2 linked regions of the Rhinolophus ferrumequinum genome follow. The protein of the gene in region 1 purifies or fractionates together with the protein of each later gene. This does not show direct contact. Links are inferred from orthologs where the notes say so. Each region holds a gene or a part of one and is shown in the gene's direction. Other genes may lie near its edges.

Evidence for each region. Proteins that work in one complex are often made in the same cells at the same time.
Region 2: the proteins of SMAD1 (region 1) and SKI purify together in Homo sapiens (affinity purification with western blotting, with the first as the bait; 3 studies listed by BioGRID). This does not show direct contact. The link is inferred for Rhinolophus ferrumequinum from reciprocal best matches to the Homo sapiens genes SMAD1 and SKI.

What each region holds. Positions count from the first base shown.
Region 1 is NC_046301.1:18,788,633-18,796,112, forward strand, and holds the start of SMAD1 (mothers against decapentaplegic homolog 1), read left to right. Parts: upstream 1-4,467; 5' UTR 4,468-4,716; intron 4,717-5,044; exon of another isoform or gene 5,045-5,900; intron 5,901-7,480. UniProt on the Homo sapiens protein: Transcriptional modulator that plays a role in various cellular processes, including embryonic development, cell differentiation, and tissue homeostasis.
Region 2 is NC_046292.1:1,024,969-1,032,583, forward strand, and holds the start of SKI (ski oncogene), read left to right. Parts: upstream 1-4,610; 5' UTR 4,611-5,034; coding exon 5,035-6,006; intron 6,007-7,615. UniProt on the Homo sapiens protein: May play a role in terminal differentiation of skeletal muscle cells but not in the determination of cells to the myogenic lineage. Functions as a repressor of TGF-beta signaling.

The sequences.
Region 1 (7,480 bases):
CGTTTTTGTTTGTTTGCTTAATATCTAGAAGATGATGTCAGGCCTTAAAGAATAGGTAGAATTTTGAAAATTGGAGGAGCCAGGATCATATACCAAGGATGAACGAAGGATATCATGTTTAAATGCCTTTTAAATATGAAAAAGGAGGAATATCATATCCAAGTATGAACAAAGGATATGATATTTAAATAAAATAGAGGAATATCGTTGCAAATTTGCCAGCGTGTGTGTTGGAGTGTGAAGGAGACCAGGCAAAAATGTGTGTCAGAGTCATACTTGGAGGGACCTTGGGATCCAGGATCCTGTCCTCTACCTGCCTCAGCTGTCTCTGGTCACAACACTAGATCTTGGCATTACCCCAAACTGTCCCAGCTCTGTGATTTCAATTTCAAGCATCCTGTTCTCAGGCTGTTCCCCAGGTGTTGGGAGTGGTTCCTAACTCCAGCAATTCTTGGACCCCACTGAGACCTTCAATCTATAATCCTCTCACCTCTCCCTTTGCCCCCACTCCTTTGTATCCTCTCGGCCCTCCTTCTCACAGTTCCGCATAGTCACACCCTTGCTAACACCCTCTGTTCTCAGATACCCTCCCTCCATCACACCCACCTGTACAACTGCAGCCCTGGTTAAACCCAGCTCTGCCCCGTATGGCTGAGGAGGCTGGAGAAGAATCCACAGCCATGCTGACTGGCCTTGCTTTAAATTCATGACCACTAACCTCAAAGAGGCAGTTAGGAGCTCTGCCTGGCAATCTCACCACATTTCCAATGTTCATTTGCTCTCAAACTCTCCCAGAATATCAGTGCTGCATATCGGCTCCTCTCTTCCACGCTCACCATTCTCAGGAAAAACATCCTCCAACATCTCTTCCACGCTCACCATTCTCAGGAAAAAGGGTGCATGGCTATCCCACCAAGATAAGAGAAACAGACAGAAAAGAAGGTTCCTGTGTTTCCACCTCCACAGCCACTAGCCCACGAGCACTTGGGCCCACACACTCCGCCTCCCCTCCTGTGGCTGGCTCTTTGTGGCTCTTCTGTGAATGGGGGAAAGAGACTCAGCTCCAGGGTCTTTGCCCTTCTCTTACCTCTGCTTGGGAGGTTGGAAAACCTCCTCCCAGGTCATGTGGCATGCTGCCTCTTCCTTCAGGACCTCTTGTCAGTGAGCTTTTCCCTATAGAAATATCAACCTCCCTATTCCCAACCCCTCTAATCTTGCTGCTTCCATCCCATGTATGACCACCTAGCATATTCATATACAGTCAAGGGCCGCTTAACGATCTGAATACTGAGAAATACATTCTTGGGCTATTTTATTGTTGTATGAACATATCACAGAATGTACGTACAGGAACCTAGATGGTGTAGCCTACTACACACTAGGTCATGTGATCTGGCCTATTGCTCCTAGGCTACAAGCCTGGACAGCACATTAGTGTATGAAACAACACGAGATTAAATCAAGCACAAGAGAAAATGATGCAATCAAGAAACTCGATAAGCATGAGCTGTATGAGGCTGCTGCTAACCTGGCATTTAGGAAACTTTTTATTTTTTTATAAGTAGAAAGAGAACACTCTAAAGTAATGATAAAGTCTATCATAGTAAATCCATAAACCAGTTACATAGTCGTTTATTATCATCAATTCTCATGGACTGTACATGATTGTATGCGCTATACTTTTATAGGACTGGCAGCACAGCAGGCTTGTGTATACCAGCGTCACCACAAACACATGGCAATGCCTTGTGCTATGACATCACAATAGGAATTTTTCAGCTCCATTATAATCTTATAGGACCACCATTGTATATATATGTGGTCTGTTGATGATTGAAGTGTCCTTCTGTGTTGCATGCCCGTATGTATTCATTATTTGTCTTCCTTGATGAGAGTAGGGAGTTTTCTCTGTTTTGCCACCATATCTCCTGTGACTTGAACAATACTTGATTCGTTCATTCAACAGGTATTTAATGAGCTCCTATCAGGCATTGAAAGTATAGTAATAAACAGAACATTGCTTTTGACTAAGTAAGAGGTTAGGTCCTGATAAGTAAACCATCCATGCCAAACAGGGAAAGAGAATATAAAATGGGAGGGGTATGCAGTGTGTGTGTGTGTGTGTGTGTGTGTGTGTGTGTGTGTGTGTGTGAAATTTTAAATAAAGTGGCCAGGGTAGACTTCATTGCAAGAGGAAACCTTGAGTGAAGACGTGAGGGAGCTGAGGGAGTGGCCCATGTAGACATCTGTGGTACCGGCTTTCCAGAGAGGAAACAGTTAGTGCAAAGGTCCTGACATAGCAGTGTGCCCAGGTTGTTCCAGGACTTGTAAGGAGGCCAGAGTGACTTGAGGAAGTGAGCGAGGTAGAGAATAGGAGACCAGGGTAGAGTGGTAGAGAAGGGCGGGGAGGAAAAATCATGTACAGTCTTGTACACATTGTGAGAACTTTTACTTTGAGTGAAATGGGAAGCCAAGGGAAGATTTTGTTGTTTTGATACTATATTAGTATACAACCCATATTCAAGTTTTCATAATTGTTCCAATAATATCCTTTTTTTTTATTCTTTATTTTTCTACTTCTTGGCATTGAATACCAAATGCTTGGCCATGGCAGTGTCCTTTTATTTTAAAATACAATTTTCTATCCCTGTTTACAAAAATAAGTTGCACAAGGGGCAAAATCAAATTTCATAGATTGTGTAGTATCAATAATTACTATTTGGGGCTAGTAGGATTTCACTAAGAAAGGTCATCCATTGGCTAAACAAATTAACAGTTTTATAATGTCATTTTATAGCTTTTGTCCCTAACCCAGGATCCAGTCAAGGATCATACACTGCATTTATTTGTCATTCCTTTTAAAAAAAATAGCTTTATTGAACTAAAATTCACATACCATGTAATTCACCCATTTCAAGTATATTATTCAATGATTTTTAGTACATCCACAGAATTGTGCAACCATCACCACAAACTAGTTTTAGAACATTTTGTTAGCTCCCAAAAGAAACCCCATAACCTTTAGCTATCACCATCTAACCTCCTCCATTCCCCCAAACATAGGCAACCACCATTCTACTTTCTGTCTCTGTAGATTATTTGCCTATTCTAGATATTTTATATACAGTAGGTAGAAGTATACAATTTGTGGTCTTCTGTGCCTAACTTCTTTCACTTAACAATGTTCTCAAGGTTTATCCATGTAGCATGTGTCATTCCTTTTTATGACTGAATAATGTTCCATTGGATGGAGATAGCACATTCTATTTATCAAGGGTTTTGAACAGAAGGACCTGATCTAAGTGGCATTTAACAAGGCTCACTCCAGCTGTTGTTCCAAGGAGCAGAGAATGATGAACTGTGTCAAATGCTGCTTTTAGGAAAAATAAGATGAGGCCCAAGAATTGACCAGTAAGTGCTCAAATAGTTTAACAAAGAAATTAGCAGAAACATTCTGATCTATAATTTATAAACTGTTATTTTGTGTTTTGTGGGGTTTGTTACATTTTCTTTGGATAATTAAACATGGAATGCAGAAATAGTAAAATAGTTAAGAATTTTAAATGGAATGTGTACATGTAAACGTATGTGAACAACTAGAAGTACCATTAATTTACAGAGGTCTTTGACATTTTATTTTGGTGGTAATGATACTTGTGGTTCATGTAAAATTTATTCCTCAGGATTCATCTCTAAACATAACGTTATGGTAATTATCCAAGATTTCATGCCAGCTTCCAGAGAGCTGGTTAATAGAAAAATTAATTCTTACAAAAAGGTATTTTCAATGTCTGTGCAGATCAGGTAGATGAGAGCTAGTCTGTTTTAATTGGGGGGAGGGGTATCATCTAAAAGATTGTAGAAACTGGGTCAAAAATTTAGAGTGCTATTGTGGCATCTGTCATTATTTGGAGCAATGAGGTTACCTACTCGAACCATTAGGCACGAAACGCATGTATTGATTCACATGCAATTGATTCTCACGCATGTATTGGTTCACAGGCTATCCAATTCTGAGTACGTGCAACTTCCGAGGCTTGCAAATCATTGGGGAGTAAGTGAGGGGCAATGAAAACTAGACACAAAAAGCGAGTCTGAAACGATAATTGTCAAACATGTACTCCACATTAATAGAACGTTCCGGTGGGCGCGGTGGACGTGTAAATGAACATTTCAGAAAATAAACGCTGAACACAGAACTTCACTTGCAGATAATGCACCAAGTCCGCTCACCCGGACGAAAGGAGGCAGGGGGAGGCAAGAATGCGCGTTGTTTTCCCTGCTGGAATCAAGGGGGCCGGGGGCTGGGGCCGCTCCCCTCGCGGTCCTCTGGCCTCCCTGCGCCGCGCTCGCGCCGGCGGGGCGGGGAATTTGGAGAGGATCCCTGGTCGCGCGGCGGCGGCGGCGGCGGCGGCGGCGCGCGGGTGCGCGTGTGAGCAAACGAGCGGGCGGGCGGGCGAGTGCGCTGGGTATTGGCAGCGGAGGAGTGGAGGCTGGGCGGCTCCGACTCCCTGACGCCAGCACGACCAGATCAATCCAGGCTCCGGGAGCGAGAGGGCGGGCGGGAGGAGGAAGGAGAGGCCGAGCGGCTCAGCCCGGGCCGAGGCGCGGGGAGGGACCCTGCGAGCGCAGCGCCTGGCCGGCCGGACCGGGGCCGCGGGACCCCGCTCGTCCGGCCACTCGTGCGCCCGCGCGGACGGGCGCGTCGCCAACCCGGTAAAACGAAACATACCCGATCCCAACTTTCCCCTCTGCCGCGTCCCCGCCCGCCTGTCGGCACCCTGGACTTTCCAGCGCCGCCGCTGCCTCAGATGGGACGGGCGCGGGCCCGCAGGGCGGCCGCGATCGGCAGGGCCCGGCGCGGGCCGCGGCGGGGAGGCGGCTCTTCCCCGCGTGGGTCGGAACGGGGACCCCCCCTCCCCCATGATGGCGTCTCCCAGTCGCTCTGAGGAGCGAACCTGCCACCTTCTTCTCTCGCCCCCACCGGCCGCCCCGGGCTCGGCCGGGATTCCCCTTGCGTCTTTGTTGGGTCTGCGGTGGGGAAGCCGCGTTCCTTCGCTGGAGCCTCGCCCCCGGCCCTGCCCGCGGCGGGACCTGCGGGACCTCCGGGCCACCCTCCCCCTCCGCCCGCTCTCTGTTTCCCTTTCCTTTCCTGCAGCCGGGCCCAGGCCCGTCCGCGCGGCCGGCGGGCCCATTGTGTCCCGCGCCGGCCCGGGCACCCTTGCGGGAGTTGGAGGGCGGCCGCCGGCGCTGCCCTTTAAGCACTCGGCGCCTCGGGGAGCCGGTCTCGCAGGAAGGGGACACCCGGTGCCCTGGGTCCCTCCGCGTCCCAGACAGGTTCCCTTCTCTGCCCCAACGACCCTCTTGGGGGTCGAGGTCAAGGGAAGTTCGCACCGAAATTCCCTCTAATTTATTCAAAGGTTTGGCGGCGGCGCGTAATTTTTTTTTTTTCCTCTTCCGCCTACACCCGCCTGCGTCTCCAAGTGTCGTCTCATTCCTTTCCCTTGACCGGATTCGATTGCCTCACTGCATGTGTATTTGTGAGTTCGCTGTTGAACAACTGTTCTTTTACTTTGCTCCCTGGCTTTGTGAGGGTTTCTCGGGGTTGTTTCTGTAGAAGGTGGGGGTGGTGGGTGTGAGAGCAGAGAGAGACGTGGGCTTGTTTTTCTAGTTGCCAAATACATATGAAGGCTTAAAGGGAGAGCGTTTCCCTACTGTACTTAGGAAGTGAGGAAGGACAGACGCCCGCCGGATCTCACAACTACAGTGGTGCGGCTTTTGTTTATTTTGAGGCGCTTACGATTTTTAAATACACTGTGCGAGATCTCCAGGAAGGCGAAGGCTTCCCTTCTGAAAATGAGGCGCGGCTCAGAACCATCTCCTGAGAAAGCATCGTTTTCGTGAGTGCTGTTGACAACTGGCCTTTTTCTTCCTCCCAATGTTCTCTTTCCATTGTATCTGAAGTTGCAAAGTAGGGGAAATTGATACAGAAGTTGCATGATTTCGGTGTGTCTTTCCTGTGACTGACACTCTCAGCACCTAAATCACAGAATGCCTTTATTTCCGAACATTTCTTGCTCTAACTGCCTGCCGTGGATAACATGCCCACGTTCAGTAATGAGAAAACTGTTCTCTGCCCATGTTGATTTTTCACCTTGCTGATAATTACCACTTTACATTTTATTGGAGGTGGGTGAGCTGTACTGGAACTGTTGAAAAAGAATGGAGGTAGAGGCAGTGTTCACCGCCCCAGCATTTTCAATTCATATAAATATTCTGCGTCAGTGTTATTCTGATGGAGGTACCTGGCCTAATAGGCAATACTGGTGAAAGTGTTTGTTCTCCCCTCTCCCGCCCTCTTTCTTTCCCCTTTGCAGTTATTTGATATTTCTGTGCAGGTGGTGTACATTTGTGTAACACTGCAATTTTTAGGAAACTGTAACCAGGGTCCTGAGAGATGATTTTCTAGAGGTGGGTGATGCTAGAGCCTTTGGAGGATCCAGGTGGTATCGGGTTTCTTCTAAGGGTAGGGATTTGTCCTTGATTTAGTTTTGATCCCTCCAACCATAGGTGTGTAACCAAATCCATTTTTCCTATTTTCAGTACCCTTTGATTTTATACCCTTGAAGAGCTGAGGACCTTTGCATTTTGGAGGAATGGCACTCTTTAGGCAATTAAAATTTTTAAGCTCTTCCACCTCTTGGAGTTTAATAATTAATTCCTTTCTACTGAGTTCATTAAAGTATTAAGAGGAAGTAAGTCTCATTTTCCTAAATATATTTGTTAGTTAAAAACTAAATTTCAGACTGTAATTGTGATTTCTAATAATTCTGGATTAAAGATAAAACATAGTAACTTGGTTAGATTGGAAAAAGAATAAACTTGAACAAAAAGAATAAACTTGAGTGTAATTAGACGAGTATATTTAAACTGCAGTCGCCTACATAATCAAGGCCAAGTTGTGTGTGTATAAAAGATCTCATTTGTGTAGTCTTACAAGGCTAATGGAGGCATCATTGAGGCTTTATAAATAATGTAAGTTGTGTATAATGTAGAGTCTCCAGAGACAGCAGAGAAAGCATCATTACCAGCCTTTTCAACCTGCTTGAGATCTTAAATTGATTTACAGCACTGAACTGGTGCAAAATGATACATCAGGATGACATGGGGTCAGCCTGTAAAAGTCTATGATGTCAGCCTATTAGTTCAGTCATCATAATTAAACCATATTACAGGGGCAGCTAAGCAGGAGTCTGGCGTTATACTTCAGATATGGGTGGTACATGGATTTTGTTTATAGTGGAAAGGCTGAACTGGCCAGGAATGCTGATTTTTTTTTTCTGAAAGAGCGGAAGGTTTACAGAACTCTGAATTTCTGAAAAAATTGAACAGAAATGCAGAGATGTCTAGTCTGCGTTTAAGTAGCTTTCCATTCGGTAGTGGAGAGACATGCTTTGGGGGTGCTGATAAGGACCTTGGC
Region 2 (7,615 bases), on another chromosome or scaffold:
GCCTGCCAGCACCTCCCCTGGGAGCTCACTCTTCTTCCCTTTGTGATTCCTGGGAACCTTGTGGGAGGAAATTTAAAACTATGCAGATAGGCCACCTTTTCAAACTTCCAACTTACGAATCCATTTATTCTAATAAATATTTGAATCCGCATGGAGTCGTGGTGCCGTTTTATTCCGTGCTTCTAATCCATGGTTACCATAATCATCTCTGATTTCCCCTGGGGGGACCTTCGGGAGGCTGAGTGTCCTTCTGGAGTGTCCCTGTTATGCTTTGAGTCCTTCCACACGTCCTGGCACAGTGAGATGTTCCAGACTCATCGTGGACCCTCCCTGCCGGAGCGCTGGGACCAGCCATTTCTCTAAAGACCTCTGGTTCCTTCTAGTGCAGATGGAACTTAGAAGCCATGATGCGGGTTCTCGGCGTGCTCAGTGCTGCTGGGGCATTGCTCCCGTCGGGGCTTCTCTCTGGACTGAGCCGCGGCTCATACGGAGGGAGGTTCGTACAAACATGCCCGCGCGCACAGCTCTTCTACTTGTTTCTAAATATTGAAATGAATGGGCTCACGCAGGTGCCACACCACATGGGCCACTTAACCCTGCCTGCATTTGACTTCCCGTCTCTAACAGTGAGAAACCGGACTCTCCTTACCTAGAATGTGTTCCCTTATTTGGTCAATCTCCCTGCTCCAGGGGCTGTCCCCTCACCCTTCACCCCAGGATCCAGCTCCAGGAGCCCGAGGGTGGCAGGCTGCACAGAATACCCTCATCCTGCTTCTCTCCCCTCACCCCCGGCCCCCAACTATATGTCCTGGGATCGCCTCCCAAGCAAACCGTCTGCACCCACCTCTGTCTCAGGGTCTGCTGCTGGTGGAACCCAAACTAAGACAAAAGTCTTTTCTAAATTTTTATCAAGCTCATGTTACTTGAGTAATTTTATTTTCAAATTTAAAGTTTTAAAACAATATCTTAGCACTTTCCTGACAATGGCGGTTTGTGCCTGGCTGCAACCAGCTGTTCCCTTCTGCTTCCCAAGGAGGAGGGGGTAGGGGCAGGTGGGAGCTGGGAGGGCAGAACAGGTCCACCCAGGGCAAGCCTCGGGCAGGGTCTCTCAGAGGGGCCTGCTGACTGAGCCTACCAGCCCATCTCACAGGTGGACCTTGGAGCGCCTCTCGAGGCCAGGGGCCCTGTCAGTTCCAGCACCCTCATCTCTGGTCCTGGAGTGCTGCGTGCTCCACGGCAGCCCCCAGCCCCTCGAGGCCTCCTTGGGGCCTGCTGGGTCCCAGTCCTGCACTGACCGTGTTGTCCGGCCTTTTCAGTCACCTGGTAGGAGATGGAAGCCACATGGGGAGCTCTCGACTCCTTCCCCGGCGGGGCAAGGGCCAGGTGTAGTGGGTCCCTGCCTGTCCCCAGTCCCCAGTCCCCAGTGCGGCTGTGCCTGTGCCCTGGCCTCTCTACCTGCTGTCATGGTGCCTGGCCCGTGGCAGCAGGACAGTGGGAGGAGTGGGCCACTGGCCTGAGTAGCTGCTGGGATGGGTTGGAGGGAGCTAGGCCAGCAGGTGGAAGCTCCCCCAGCAGGCTCGGGGGGAGGACGGACTGGCTGGTCCTGGGTGGGTGGGCAGGGCTTGGCTACTCCCGGAAATTCCATCTTACAGGATGAGGCCTCAACATCCATTGAGGTGCAGAAGTTTTTCAGACCAGCCCTTCCCCCCATCTCTGGGCCCTTCACCCCTCCCCCACACCCCACTGCACTGTGAGTGTGTGGGTCTCCTGCCAGCCTCTTCCTGGGACCCCTTCCTGGAGCCCCACAAAGCCAAAGGGTGTAGAGGGAAGGGGAGTGTGGGAGCCTGCTCAGCTCACGAGGGTATGGGTAGTGCCCACTTGGCCAAAAGAGCAGGAAGAATTCCGTGCCTGGCTGGAAACCCTTCCCGGCCAGCCCTCCGGTGCCCCAACCGCCTTCTTTCAATTGCAGGTCACTGAGCTGCGTGGAATTCAAATCCACGTGGGAGGAACAGACACTCTCAGGTGCAACATAAACTTTTTGGTACAAATGTGGACCAAGAGAATGAGTCCCCAACACAAATGAGTCCTTCTTCTTCAGTTTTTAACACCCCTTTCCCAGTCTTCTCGTGTTTGTGCAGAGAAGCCTTATGCTGGGGGTGCCCATTGTTGGAGACATGAGAGTACTGAAAAGGGGGGGCCTCCCCAGGGCACAGGGGAGGGGTCGAGGGTGGGGCAAGGGATCACATCCTTGGTGGGGAGTGATCAGGTTTTCAAACATGGAGCTCTGCACCCTGAATCTCAGCCCCCCAAGACGCCTGCCTGTGTCTGCAGCCATGCAGGTGTGGGGTCACCTGACCACCCCAGCTGCCTCTCCAGACAACTGCCTGAACCTCAAGGCCTGCGGAAATGCTGGGTCAGCTCCCTGGGCAGGCCTTGCCCCAGGAGCACTGGTTTGGGGCCAGTTCCAGCCTCCCCCGGAGAGGTAGGAGCAGCAGGTGACAAGCTGAAGGTCACCCAGGCTGAAGTGGGTGTGGTCCCATCCCCCCTGCCCAGCACTGCAGGTGTCCCCACGTCCCCGTGTCTAGGCCAGCTTGGGTGCCCTCATTCTGTGGAGAAAAAGGTGCTACAGCTCAGGTCGGCGGGAATGTCCCTCTGCTCGGAGTTGAACGCAGCCAGAACTGCCCCTGATTTCAAACCCCCACCCCAGGCCTCTGTGGGCTGCCTTCTCGGGGACCACCCAGCCACCCCATCTTCTCCCACCAGGTACTTTCTGTCTGTCCCCCACGACACACAGCCCAGCCCGTGTGTGTAAGGACGGGTAACAGGGCCACGTCCCAGGTGGCCTAGAGATGTGTAAGTGGCTCTCTGGCCTGGGAGGTTGCAGGGTAAGGGTCACACTAGCCTGCCTGGGGCACCAGGGGCCGGGTTTCTGAGGACCCACCGTGGGTCCGGCCCTGGCAGCAACCCGGCTGGTGGGCACAGGGCACAGCTCCTTGGATGCGGGCTGTCACTTCAGGCGCTCAGCACCTGCCCGCCACCACCTGCCCTCCTCATGCAGCTGGCACTCCTGCACTGGACAGGCTGGGATGTGACACCGCCGGTCGCGGTCCTGCTGGCCTGGTGGCAGGGATCAGGGTACAGGGACATGGGTTGGGGGGTGCTGCTTGCCAATCATACTGGGGGGTTGTGTGCTGCACCTGCGTCAGGTGGGGTCCTGGGACAGGTTGCATGGTGTCCGTGTGGGGTCTCAGGTGCTGCCACCCTAACGTGTTTAGTAACCCATAGTGTGTTGTGGGGCGTTCTTGTCCTGTGTGGAACCTTGGGTCATACTATGTGGAGTTCTAGTCGTGGGGGCCCCAGGGTGTGTTGTGTGGACTCCCCGTCATGTCTGGGGTCCCTGGGTAGTACGGCGCACTATCCCCGTTGTGTATGGGGACCGCAGGATGTGTTGCGTGGCATTTCACTCGCGTGTGGGACTTGGGTCCTATTGCATGGGGTCCCCATCGTGTGTGGACCCCGGGTCGTGTTTTGTGGCATCTCTGTCGTGTTTGGGACCCCAGATGTGTTACGTGGCGTCCCTGTCGTGTGTGGAAACCTGGGTCATGCTACATGACATCCCCATCATGCGTGGGGACCTCAGGGTGTGTTGCGTGGCGTCCCCGTCGTGCGGCAGTCGCGAGGCGTGCGGTGGGGCTGCGCGGTCGCGTCCCGTCCGCCTCTCAGCTGGTCTGAGGTTGTGGCGGGGCCGCGTGTGGGTTTCCGGGCCCCGTAGGCGGCGGCGGCGGCGGCGGCGGCGGCGGCGGCGTCGGGGCGAGAGCCCTCCCAGCCGCGCAGGAAGCGGCCTCGGCCGGAAAGGGGGCCTCCGGCGCCGCCGCCGCCCCTGCCGAGCGGTCTTCCGGCGGGCGGGGCCGAGTAAAGCCGAGCGCGGCCGACTTCAGGGTGGGCGGGGCCGAGTGGAGCCGAGCGGGGCCGAGACCCAGGCGTCGGGACCGAGTGGAGCCGAGCGGGGCCGAGGCCGGGCCGAGCGGGGTCGAGGTTAAGGCGGGCGTCTCCGATCGAACCCGAGTTCCTAGCGGTTGGGCCCGAGCGCGGCCGAACACGGCCGAGAGGCCCGAGTGCGGGCGGGGAGAGCGCGCATTCCTGGAAGAGCCGGCCGGGAGGCGGTCGCATTCCTGGCCGACGCTGGCTGGGGCGGACGCGCGTCCCAGACGGCGGCGCGGGGCGGGGCGGCGGCGCGGGGCGGGGCGCGGGGCGGGGCGGTGGCGTGAGCTCAGCGCCCGGCGCTCAGTCCGAGCCGGAGCGAGCCGCCGGGAGGATGTGCGCCGAGCCCCGCGCCGCCGCCGCCGCCGCCGCGCTCTGAGGGCCGCCTCATAGGCGCTCCGCCGCCCCGGAAGCCGCGCGCGCGGGGGGCGGGCGGGCCGCGGAGCCGGCGCGGGCGGCGGGGTGGGCGCGGGCCGGGCCGGGCCGGGGCGGCCGGCGGCGTGCGCTACGCGGCTGGCCAGCGCCGCCGGGACGAGCCGGGCGGGCGCCGCGCGGTGGGAGGAGCGGGGCGGCGGCGGCGCGCCGCGCGAGGACGGCCCGGCGGGCCCCGCGCCCGCGCCCCCGCTCCTCCCGGGCCCCTCGGCCTCGGCCGCCGCGGCGATTCGCGCCTCGCGGCGCCGGCACCTGCCCGCGCGCCCCCCGCGAGCCCCGGGCCCGCGAGCGTTGGCGTTGGCGTTGGCGGCGCGCGCCGGGGCATGCCCCGCGCCTAGGGCCCGGGGGGCGCGCGGGGGGCGCGCGGGGGGCCCGGGCGGCGGCGGGCGCGGCGCGGGGCGCGTGGATGTGGCGCCGGGCCCGGGCGCCGGCGGGCTCCAGCGGCGGGACCCCTTCGCCCCGCCCGCCTTCCCCTTCGCGCCCCCGGGCGAGGCCGAGGCCGCGGCCGTGATCGGCCGGGGCCGGGGCCGAGGCCGCCGCCGGGGCGCGAGGGGCGGCGGCGGGGGCCGCGGGGGCCCGGGCGCGCGGGAGCGGGAGAGGCCCGCGGAATCGGAGCGCACCATGGAGGCGACGGCGGGAGGCCGCGGCGGCTTCCAGCCGCACCCGGGGCTGCAGAAGACGCTGGAGCAGTTCCACCTGAGCTCCATGAGCTCGCTGGGCGGCCCGGCCGCCTTCTCGGCGCGCTGGGCGCAGGAGGCCTACAAGAAGGAGAGCGCCAAGGAGGCGGGCGCTGCCGCGGTGCCGGCGCCTGTGCCCGCGGCCACCGAGCCGCCGCCTGTGCTCACGCACCTGCCCGCCCTGCAGCCGCCGCCGCCCGTGTTGCCCGGGCCCTTCTTCATGCCGTCCGACCGCTCCACCGAGCGCTGCGAGACCGTGCTGGAGGGCGAGACCATCTCGTGCTTCGTGGTGGGCGGCGAGAAGCGCCTGTGCCTGCCGCAGATCCTGAACTCGGTGCTGCGCGACTTCTCCCTGCAGCAGATCAACTCGGTGTGCGACGAGCTCCACATCTACTGCTCGCGCTGCACGGCCGACCAGCTGGAGATCCTCAAAGTCATGGGCATTCTGCCCTTCTCGGCGCCCTCGTGCGGGCTCATCACCAAGACGGACGCGGAGCGCCTGTGCAACGCGCTGCTGTACGGCGGCGCCTACCCGCCGCCCTGCAAGAAGGAGCTGGCCGCCAGCCTGGCGCTGGGCCTGGAGCTCAGCGAGCGCAGCGTGCGCGTGTACCACGAGTGCTTCGGCAAGTGCAAGGGGCTGCTGGTGCCCGAGCTCTACAGCAGCCCGAGCGCCGCCTGCATCCAGTGCCTCGACTGCCGCCTCATGTACCCGCCGCACAAGTTCGTGGTGCACTCGCACAAAGCCCTTGAGAACCGGACCTGCCACTGGGGCTTCGACTCGGCCAACTGGCGGGCCTACATCCTGCTGAGCCAGGACTACACGGGCAAGGAGGAGCAGGCGCGCCTCGGCCGCTGCCTGGACGACGTGAAGGAGAAGTTCGACTACGGCAACAAGTACAAGCGGCGGGTGCCCCGGGTGAGTGTCCCCGCCGCCCCTCCTGCGGGCGTGGGAGGGGCGGGTCCGAGACGCTGGGGAGGCCCCCTGGGCCAGGGGCTCACTGTCTGTGCAGGCTGGGACTTGCGCTTCTGCCTTTTTCCCGTTTTAGGGGTTTGCTTTGTTTTAAGCACTGTCAGGGTAGCTTCAGAGAGTCCATTGATGACCAAGTAGCCTGGGAGGAAGCCTCTCCTCCTGCCCGATCTCTGGGACATGCCTGCTTGTGTGTGTGTGGGGGGGGGGTCGGGGAGACCTGGGCCCCCGCCTGGTGGGTGGAGAAGCCTCCCTGAGGCCACTGCCCAGATAGGCCCCATGGCGGGGAAGGGCAGGCGGCAGACCTGGGCTGCTCCTGCTCAAAGTCCCGAGAAGTTAGGTCTCGTCCAGGCTCGGGCTGGAGGCCCAGGCCTTCTTCTTCAGGGCCGAGAGGAGGGGTCCAGCCCGGGTCTGGGCAGAGGGCACTGCCGTCACCCCGAAGCTCCCAGCGTTCCCGACAGAGGGGTTCTTGCCTGTGGTCCCAGGCAGACGGGACTTGGCGAGCGGAGCCTCTTTGTGCCTTGGAGTCGTGGGAGACAGACTCAAAAACTAGCCTGGGTTTCTAGGCGCAGTGTCAGGGCTGAGATTCGGCGCCTCCAGCTCTATGCACCTCCCTAGGCCTGCCCGGGAGCTCGGGAGCGAATCCAGATTCCCCGGGTGCGGGCGAGGGCCACTGGGCACCGGGCTCAGGGCCTGGTCAGCCGGCACCCGGGGTCCTGAGTTGGAGTAGCCAGTGGCCTGTGATTTGTTTTGGACGCGCCCATTTCCTTCTCTCCCTCTCTCTGAAACGCTGGAGGGCGCGGCGACAGGCAGGGAGGGCCCAGCAAAGGCTCTGTTGTTTGCCTGGCAGGGGATCTGTGTGACCGGCCGGCAGCTCCCTGGCCACTAGACGCCGAAAGCAATCACTGAAGTCTCCCCAACTTTTCATGGCATCTCCCCCTCCCCAAGTATTTGTAACTTTTAGATATAGGGGCTTATTAAATTGCACACACAGAATGCTGCATTGGCTCAGCTATTCTTGGGAGGCCTAATTAATTCAGCTATTGCATCAAACTTTTTTTCTGAATCTGTGAATAGATGCTCCCGCCCGGTTTTCTCTGGGCGCCCCTCCAGCGGAGTGTCAGTCTCGGAGTGTCAGTCTCGGCGAGCGGAGGAGGGGCTGGGGAAGATGAGGGCTTGGTGGGGGCCGCCGCGTGTGCGCGTGTGCAAGTGTGTGCGTGTTTGGTGGCATTTCTGCCCTTGGCTAGGCCAGCGCCCAGGTGGCAGCTGTCTGCAGACTGGGGCTGGGCTGGAGCCTCAGAGTGGGCAGCGTGGGGTGCTGGGGCTGCTGATCGGGAAGGCCTACGTGGGCCCTTCGTGTCAAACGGAGTTGGCTCTGGGTGCCGTGATGGGCATTGCCTTTGAACTGGGAGCTTTTCTGTTTGGGGTGCTTGCACCCTGGACAGCCAGCGTGGTCCAAGGGAGCCCCACGTGCAGGATTGTAGATTTTGGCAGACTGGAGCTGGTGGGTGAGGCCATGGCTGGTCACTTCCCTTCAGAGTGGACAGCCAAGGGTCTT